2 linked regions of the Daphnia pulex genome follow. The protein of the gene in region 2 purifies or fractionates together with the protein of the main gene of each other region. This does not show direct contact. Links are inferred from orthologs where the notes say so. Each region holds a gene or a part of one and is shown on either strand. Other genes may lie near its edges.

The links. The genes of interacting proteins can lie anywhere in the genome.
Region 1: the proteins of WD repeat-containing protein 20-like (region 2) and F-box/WD repeat-containing protein 5-like purify together in Homo sapiens (co-immunoprecipitation; 3 studies listed by BioGRID and IntAct, counting the BioPlex papers as one, with this or other methods). This does not show direct contact. The link is inferred for Daphnia pulex from reciprocal best matches to the Homo sapiens genes WDR20 and FBXW5.

What each region holds. Positions count from the first base shown.
Region 1 is NC_060022.1:5,214,592-5,218,824, forward strand, and holds the start of F-box/WD repeat-containing protein 5-like, read right to left. Parts: upstream 2,823-4,233; 5' UTR 2,633-2,822; coding exon 2,558-2,632; intron 2,493-2,557; coding exon 2,372-2,492; intron 2,258-2,371; coding exon 2,100-2,257; intron 2,027-2,099; coding exon 1,853-2,026; intron 1,773-1,852; coding exon 1,449-1,772; intron 1,376-1,448; coding exon 1,279-1,375; intron 1,207-1,278; coding exon 1,125-1,206; intron 1,060-1,124; coding exon 827-1,059; intron 767-826; coding exon 637-766; intron 573-636; coding exon 459-572; intron 386-458; coding exon 265-385; intron 173-264; coding exon 81-172; intron 1-80. UniProt on the Homo sapiens protein: Substrate recognition component of both SCF (SKP1-CUL1-F-box protein) and DCX (DDB1-CUL4-X-box) E3 ubiquitin-protein ligase complexes.
Region 2 is NC_060023.1:10,107,508-10,111,644, reverse strand, and holds the start of WD repeat-containing protein 20-like, read left to right. Parts: upstream 1-1,332; 5' UTR 1,333-1,645; coding exon 1,646-2,140; intron 2,141-2,211; coding exon 2,212-2,426; intron 2,427-2,509; coding exon 2,510-3,716; 3' UTR 3,717-4,137. Other genes in the region: U3 small nucleolar RNA-associated protein 25 homolog, read right to left, coding at 1-1,110. UniProt on the Homo sapiens protein: Regulator of deubiquitinating complexes. Activates deubiquitinating activity of complexes containing USP12. Anchors at the base of the ubiquitin-contacting loop of USP12 and remotely modulates the catalytic center of the enzyme.

The DNA.
Region 1 (4,233 bases), on a different chromosome or scaffold from region 2:
TTCACAGCATAAATAGAATGATTCGAATCATTGAATTGGACTTAAAGAAACAATACAAAGTAAACGCCCATCTCCTATACCTTGCAACGTAATCCTTACTGACGTCCAGAAAGATAAAAAAGCATTCGTCATTAGGCGTGAATGACCGATGAGCCCGTAACAAAGATCCGACCTGAAAGGCAGAAACGTGAAACCATATTAGTTTCCCTCGCGTCATACCTTCTTACTTGGCCAATGGCCATATTTCCAATAGTGTTCCTATACCTGCTTCAATGTAACTAGATCAATTACGTGTATGTCGATCTCTTGGGCGATGGGCGGTGGTTGGAGGGGATTCTCTATAGTGCAACCTTGTGGCCAGGGTCGCACATTGACGTATAAATATCTGAAATCGGATATACGGATTTTAAGAAGTCGATAATAATTATTATGATGAAAACGAGGATCCCAAGTAATACCTGTGGTCTGGAGACAAAGACATTCCAATTATATGTCCATTCAAATCGATGATATGATCAATTGGGTCAAACCGATCGGCTACCGCCTCAAAGTCCTGCCAAACAGGTTCGGGACTGGAGATTTTGGAAATGTAGAAAGAATTAAAATGATCAATTAAACCACGAAACCTGTTCTTACGGAGGAATTCCAAGGGCCAGAGATTCTTCCAAAGCTTGCCGCTCTTGCCTCTGGATAGCCACTCGTTCAGCCAAACTCGGCCCAACGTCGATGCGATTGCAAAAAGTAAACGGAGTGATTCGTTTCAAACCTGAGTAGAAAACGTAATTGTTGAAGGTTCCGGGTTCAAGGAAAACGCTATAAAACAAACCTATTTGATGCGGAGTGTAAGTTCTAGAACCCATAGTGAAAATTAGGAATTTTTCGCGGGGATCCAGCACTTCCTCTGAATCTTCGTCCGTGGCTTCAGATTCTGCACGTTGAGACCGTGCTCCAGTTCCGGAACTGGTAAACGGCGAATCGGATCTACCTGACTGCTCACCGGCTTCGTTATCTTCACTTTTTGAATCGCCCTCTATGTCATCGTCCATTGCGGATGTAGTACTAAACAATTGAAAAAAAAAATGTTTAAAATGAGCTTTAGAAAATTCAGCAATAGTTATTATTACCCTGAAATGGAAACGTCGGGAGAGTTTCGCCGCCAGCACTGAAACTCATCGGTAGTATTGATTGGCCACAAAGATCCTTCAGCTGAAACATAAGGCGAAATATTAAGATGCAACTGAACGCAGAACCCGCAGAATATCTAAAAGATCTTTCTACATGTTTCTTGGAAGGACTCTTTGGCTGAACCGGGATCTACAGTCTTGGTTCCGGCAAGTTCGGGCTGTGAAATTGGATTCCCCGTCTTGTGGCAGCTCTGTACAAAATCAATTAAAAGGGCGCTCTCCACGATTATGCTGCAAGTTACAGCGACTATCAAAAATGAATACTTTATTGGAGGCGCAATCGTCAGACGTGCCAGAGGGTGTCGGCGAGGAAGAAGACGTCTGATGTTGAGGTAAAGAGCGGCAGTTAGCCACCGTGATTGAGCGAATAGAAGAGGCGCTTCGGTTATAAAACTTGAACATACGGTTCATGATTGAAGTGAATTCCGAATCGGACTCTTGTGAAGCTCGATTCAACCAAACGATTGACGTACTAACGAGATGGGCAAGCCAGCGTAAATCACCGGATAGTAGGTAGTTGTCATTGTACCACGTACCAAAAAAATCGTAAGGCTTATTTGACATTCTGCACTGAATCACAAAGTTCTCCTGTGAATCCAAGATAAAATTGATTTAAATTAATTTTTCATCTAATGTATCAAGTAGCAGCTCCCTGCTACGGCACTTACCTCAAGATTGAAAACGGCGATTTCACCCGTATTTGAGTGATTACCAAAATGAACTCCCGATACCAACAGAAGGGTATCTGATTCATTAAATTGACTAAACTGAGTGTTTTTCCAGCTGTACACTTTCATATCATAATAATGTTTGATTCTGGCAGGATAACCAGCATCCCAAAGCTGCACAATAAGAAATATCAAACATCATTCAAGCAATGTACTAGATATACCAGTGTTTGTAATCTTTTAATACCATAACATAGCCATCTTTGGAGCAGGTGGCAAAATATTTGCCATTGTGCGAGAAACTGACATGAAGCACTTGATGTGTATGGCCCTTTAATACCTCAGTTTCTAATATTGGTGTGTGCTGCCACAGTCTCAGATATTCACTGAACCATGAAGTTTTGCCTAAACAAGGATGAGATTTACACATTAGAAGTCATAGATATAACACATTTGATAAATATGAGAGCAATTTTAAAAAATTTGATAAATTCAATAGATATGAGAGAGGAGATGTACCCGGAGCGATTCCAATTTTCGGACTGATGTTCCAGTCTCTTTTAAAGAAAGATTTCCACAATAGTTCATCTCTAGAGACTCTGTACCAAGTCTGGGAAACGGTGGAAAGTTTCAGTATGTCCTTGAAACATCAAGAGAAAGAAATTTAACTTGAAATGATGACTATAAACATGAAGCTCTACATACTTCTGCTTTGAGAAATCGAAATATCTGCAACAAAACGTGATCAGGCAGTTTACTCCAACCATTCTCCATGTCCATTTTAGATTAAATTTAAATCTTTTGTAAAATCATAAACATAAGATTTTCTGTGGAGATTCCAATTCAAGATGTTTCAACAGTTTATTCCGGGCATTTCATGTTGAAACTTTTTTTTGCTTGACGAACTGGAATGATGGATTGGATCTTGGCACAATTCACCATTCCTAGAAATAAAAACAACAATAACAACAAAGCGATAGTTATGGATGGTTGCCGCTAGATGACTCTCGCATCACTTTATTCCTCAAAAATATGCAGTGAAATCCCAAAAAGTGAATTTGACATTATTTGTAGGTCAGTGTATGGTTGACTTTGCAAAAATTGGAATGATATCACTAAAATATAAACTTTACAATTTAGGTTAAAGGAAAATTGCGAATCATTCAAAATGTTGACAAAAATGTTATAGCAGAGCGTGGTTTCGATCCACGGACCTCTGGGTTATGGGCCCAGCACGCTTCCGCTGCGCCACTCTGCTGTCTTGCTGATCACGAATGTTTTTTAAATAAAATGCAAGTGATTTGCAATGCTTGCGAATGTTGAAGGATTGTTTTTTTGTCTCTCTTGCCTACCAATGTTCAACAACAATCGAATAAATGATTCCATAACATTTTGACACAAAATAGCAATTCCTATTCATTCAAAGCCACTGTAATCGATGCGTTACGTCTGAAATGAGAAAAAGAGACCGTTCGATTTTCGCTAGCAGGAACACGAAACATTCAAGTCAATTTTTCTCGGACTCGCCGACATACGTTGCTGAGAGGTCAAGCTACTAACAAGCAAGTCGCGAGTTCATAGGTCATGGACTGGTTGAAAAATCGGGCGACGTCGAGTCTAAAGTTTTTTGTAAAATAGACGCGCTTCTCCGTCAAAGCCACTAGCCAGTTTCGACGAGATCAGCAGCAGCATCAACTATAAGTTCAATCAAGTTTTTGGTTTCTACATATTGATGAAGCCTTCCAGACTGGACGAGAAAGCCAACTTGTGGTCAACCTTGAACATGTAGGAGGATGTAGCTATTGAGCCAATGCTGTGTCGGTGTTGATCCAGTTGTGAGTCTCTTGTGACATCCACCAGCTCCACTTGTTGTTTCGTATTGTTTTACTTTTACTTTTGGGTGTATATATAGTAGACACATGTGTGTGCGTTGGGCCGGAAGACGGAGTAGGCGGAATACGGCTATATAGACGCGCATACATATACAACAAATCCAAGAGAGGAAAAGCGCCGTCGTTATCTTGTATGTGAACTTCTCGGGGAAAAGAAGATAACGATGGACGGTCGTCGCCAGGATTTTTATCTCGACCAAAGTTTTTTTATTTTATTTTTCTTTTTTCGTCTTTTCGGTCAGGTAAAGTTCACTTTGGTTGCAATGAACTTGACAATGGCATGTGACCTTTTCATTATACATTTAATTTTGACGTCTAGTTCAGCCTTACAAATGTGTCAACTGGGCAGCGCCAGCCGCATCGGGGCTATTATAATTATCATCCAAGGCTGGATCCAAGGCGAATGATGAGTCTCCACCAGCTTTGCTCTGTCTGCTTGTTTGAGTCATCAACAAGAGAGAGGGGAGGCGGTCGTTTTCAATATTTTGA
Region 2 (4,137 bases):
AGGACGGACTAATCCTTGATCTCTATATTCTATTTCATCGGTCGCAACGCCATTTTCTTTGGCCTTTTTCAATTTGGCGTTGTGAAGAAGAACTTTGTCTCTCGATTTCATTACATGATTCAACGAGTGAAGGCAGTAAACTGTTCTAATCTCGTCATTGTTTAAATGGTTCATTTCAGGATAATAAACGTCGCGGTATTCATTTGCGAGAGTGAAAAGCTCATGCTGTAATGGGGAGAGCAGTTCTTCAGCCGTTTGTTTGTTGTCCGAGAGTGGCCTCGTATCAAGGTTGGAACATAATTGCAATTTAACACCGTATTCACTCAAGGGGATTCCAGTTTTCAATACAGGTAGACTACCAGGAATGACATAACTTTCTATTGTTTCACCTAGTAATGTAGGCTTTGGTTGACTTGTGTTTTTTTCAGGTTTGGTTGGCAGGTGAACCACCATTCTTCCAAGAACTTTCCACTTCAGTTCTTGAGTCTCATAAGGCTTGGGTGATGTCAGGATTTCTAAAAGGTTTTCATTTATTTCCCTGTCGAAATGAAGGTGGAAGGGATCCGTAGATAATGTTTCTTCTTCTTCATCACCAGAATGTTCTTCTTCCTCTGATTCAACTTCAAGATCTTCATGTATACTATTTTCCTCGTCAATTTCTTCAGCAACACCAACTGAACTACCACTTTCCTCTTCTCCTACTTCCTCATCGTCTTGAGCTGAATCTTCTTCTTCACTGCCAATGTCATCTTCATTAGATTGGTCATTGATATCTTCAGCTTCCTCTTCATCTGACTGTTCTTCATCAGATGTCAAAACTTGCTGTGCTCTACTACTGGATTTAAACATCGACAGCAGCTGTGTGTAAGGTTTGACTTCTTCTTCTGATTCACTGCTAGATGATTCTTCTTCGATAATAGGCACAGCCTCTTTTTCTTGTTGAAGCTTTTGTCTTTTACTTTCAGAAGTGTCATCTTTTTTTCCATCTCTATCTTGATTAAATTTCCTTTTGTTTTTAAAGTTACCTCCACCACGAGTCGATTTGTTACCACGGGAACCGTGGTTTTTGTAATTGCCACGTTTAGGCCCTCCTCGTCGTCCACGTCCCATTTTAAGAACAAAATAACGTTCGAATTTAATTTATCTGAAATCAAAACTCAAACTCAAATGCACGTGTCAAAATGAAAACTTTGATTGCAGACGTCCAAAGTTGCAAGAACAACACAGTTGATTAATTACAATTTAATAGTGTGCTGCCAAAAATGTATCAAAAATATATTTATTTAAATATATTTATTTATTTTATTCATATTTTTTATTTTATAAATTAAATTAAATGATTCCTTTAAAGTTGAAAATATAAATTGCCAACATGGCAACCAAAAATCACCAACCAAAATGGCGGGCGTCTGCTATCAGGGAATTCTACATCACCAGTGAAAATTAGTTTATTTACCGGAAAAGTTGACAGGTAGCAATCCTGCTTATATATAGACTGATTCACTGTTTAATAAAGCCTTCGAATGTAAAATTATCGGTGCCGTCACGATGGAAGACCGTTGTTTAAACGGTGGAGCCGACATGTTTGAATAATCAAAGTTTTGGTTATTATTGTTTGTGTTTTTGGATCGTTTGTTGTTTACCGATGGCTGGGCAAACGGATCTGAACAGTGGTAGTGTAAGTGGAAACAGCAGCCGGGACGATGTGCGAACTCATTTCACAACCAGAGAGGGAGTATATAAGTTGATAACATTAGCCGAATACTCCAGGGCAAATCGGCTGTCTGGTTACACTGCCATCCAAAGCCAGCAAGGAGCTGCGCTCGGTCAAGGTTCAAACCCTCCAGTTAGGGTTACTTTTGTGTCTCTACCATCTGATCCATCAGGTTTTTGTGACCGCATATGTTTCAACTATGGAAGGGAACTCTACTTCTACACCTACAAGGGAACCAAGAAACCAGCAGACTTGTCCAAGCCTGTTGATAAAAGGATTTACAAAGGAACCAGCCCCACTTGCCATGATATCAATAAATTAACAATCAGCAGTGAAAGTGTTATGCTTCTAGTTGGTTTCACTGGCGGACAAATCCAATTAGTAGATCCAATAAGGAAAGAAATAGGAAAACTTTACAATGAAGAGGTTTCTTGAGATTTTCTGTTTTCTTTATAAATTTATGGAATTTCAATAACATTATTTATTTTTTCCTTCAGAGAATAATTGAAAAGACGAAAGTAACATGTATCAAGTGGCTGCCAGGTTCCCCCAATTTGTTCCTAGTTTCTCATGTTTCGGGACAGATGTATCTGTACAGTGAAGATGTGACGTGTGGTGGACCAGCACCTCCGACCTATCAACTTTTTAAGCAGGGGGCCGGTTTTTCGGTCTGGACTTGTAAAGCCAAAAGCACTCGGAATCCCATTTACAGGTTATTATTCATCATTTCATTTTTAATCATTAATAAAATCAGGTTAAAGACTCCTCCCATCTAACCCCATATTTGGTTGTTAGGTGGGTGATTGGAAACGGCGCCATCAACGACTTTGCCTTCTCACCTTGCTCGAAATACTTGGCGGTTGTGTCGCAGGATGGGTGTCTGCGCGTTCTCAATTATGATGCCATGGAATTGATCGGACTGGCAACATCCTTTTTCGGCGGCTTGCTCTGCGTCTGCTGGTCACCCGACGGGCAGCTGGTAGTGGCCGGCGGCGAGGATGATTTGGTGACGGTTTGGTCTTTCCAACAAAAGAGAATCGTGGCCCGAGGACAGGGCCATCGATCCTGGATCACGGTGGTGGCGTTCGACCCTTTCACGACCCTGTATTCATCTCAATCCTCGTCTTCCAAGTCGTTGTCGAAAGAAGGAGTCGATACTTCGGTCACGTCGAACGGGACGGGCGGAATCGACGGCGAGGCGGAAACGAAATCCTCTAGCGACATTGCCACCTGTTACCGTCTAGGATCTATAGCCATGGACACTCAGCTGTGTCTTTGGGAGTTGACGGACGACGTCCTGAAACAGCCTTACGGTTCCCGGAGCCGAGCTTCAATGGTCTCAGGACCAGGATCGCCACCTTCTAGTCTGAAATTCACTGGCCAGACGCCCATTTCCGGCGATCGGAGTAGTAGCAGCAGCAGCAACAACGTTGTCACCATCACCCCGGTCAACAACTTGACCGTTTCTCCAGCACCCAGTAGTGCGACTGCCACGCCTGTCAACGCCGCAGGATCTCTCACTCAGCGGCTGGCGAATATGACATTTTCCGATAGAAAGTCGGGCCAGCAACAGGAGGCAGCAGCAACCGACTCGAAATCCCACCGAAAGAATTTCAGCCTTGGCAGTGGCCGGAATTCCACTTCGGATCGGTCGGGTAACGCGGCCAATTCGTTGGGTTTGAAATCCGTTTCTTCAGTCTCGTCCACTTCCTCCTCTGCGGGTACCACCACCACAGCGAACCCGTCGCTAGTGACGGGCTGTGCTGATCCGCTCCGGTTGATCGGCACGCAAGCCTGCCCTCGACTGGACGAGATCCCCATGCTGGAGCCGCTCGTTTGTAAGAAAGTCTCCCACGAGCGGCTGACGGCGCTCATCTTCCGTGAGGACTGCCTCATCACCGCCTGCCAAGATGGCATCGTCTGTACCTGGGCTCGGCCAATTGGCCCGTCTCCACACCACACTTCCACCAGCACACCCACCAATGAAGGCACCATGGTCTGAGATGATGATGAGAAAAAATTATCCATTCGTTACGTTCATCTCCCGTTCCTTTTTGTTTTTCCGCAATTAGCGACCGACGACAATTATCGTGTAGCCCTGTCAAGATTCTTCTTCATTAACCCCAATTCCAAACGAGCCATCTTGACCTACTCTTTTTCGCCCTCCAGTGAACAACCAAGTTTTGTTGTTTCTTCTTGTCTATCATCATCAGTTCATTTTTAGGTTTCTCTTTCTTTCTTTAACTGTGTCGTTAAACCCCAAACGGCCCTCAATTTTTCCCTCCCCTGGTGGTGGTTGGTGACGATATAACAACTTAGGGGCCCCGGATATGATTCTAACGGCATTTTGCAGATTCCTAATCTCACCACCTATCGTGCATTCTCCTTTCTTATCTTTCTCCTCCTTTTTTCTTCGATTACCT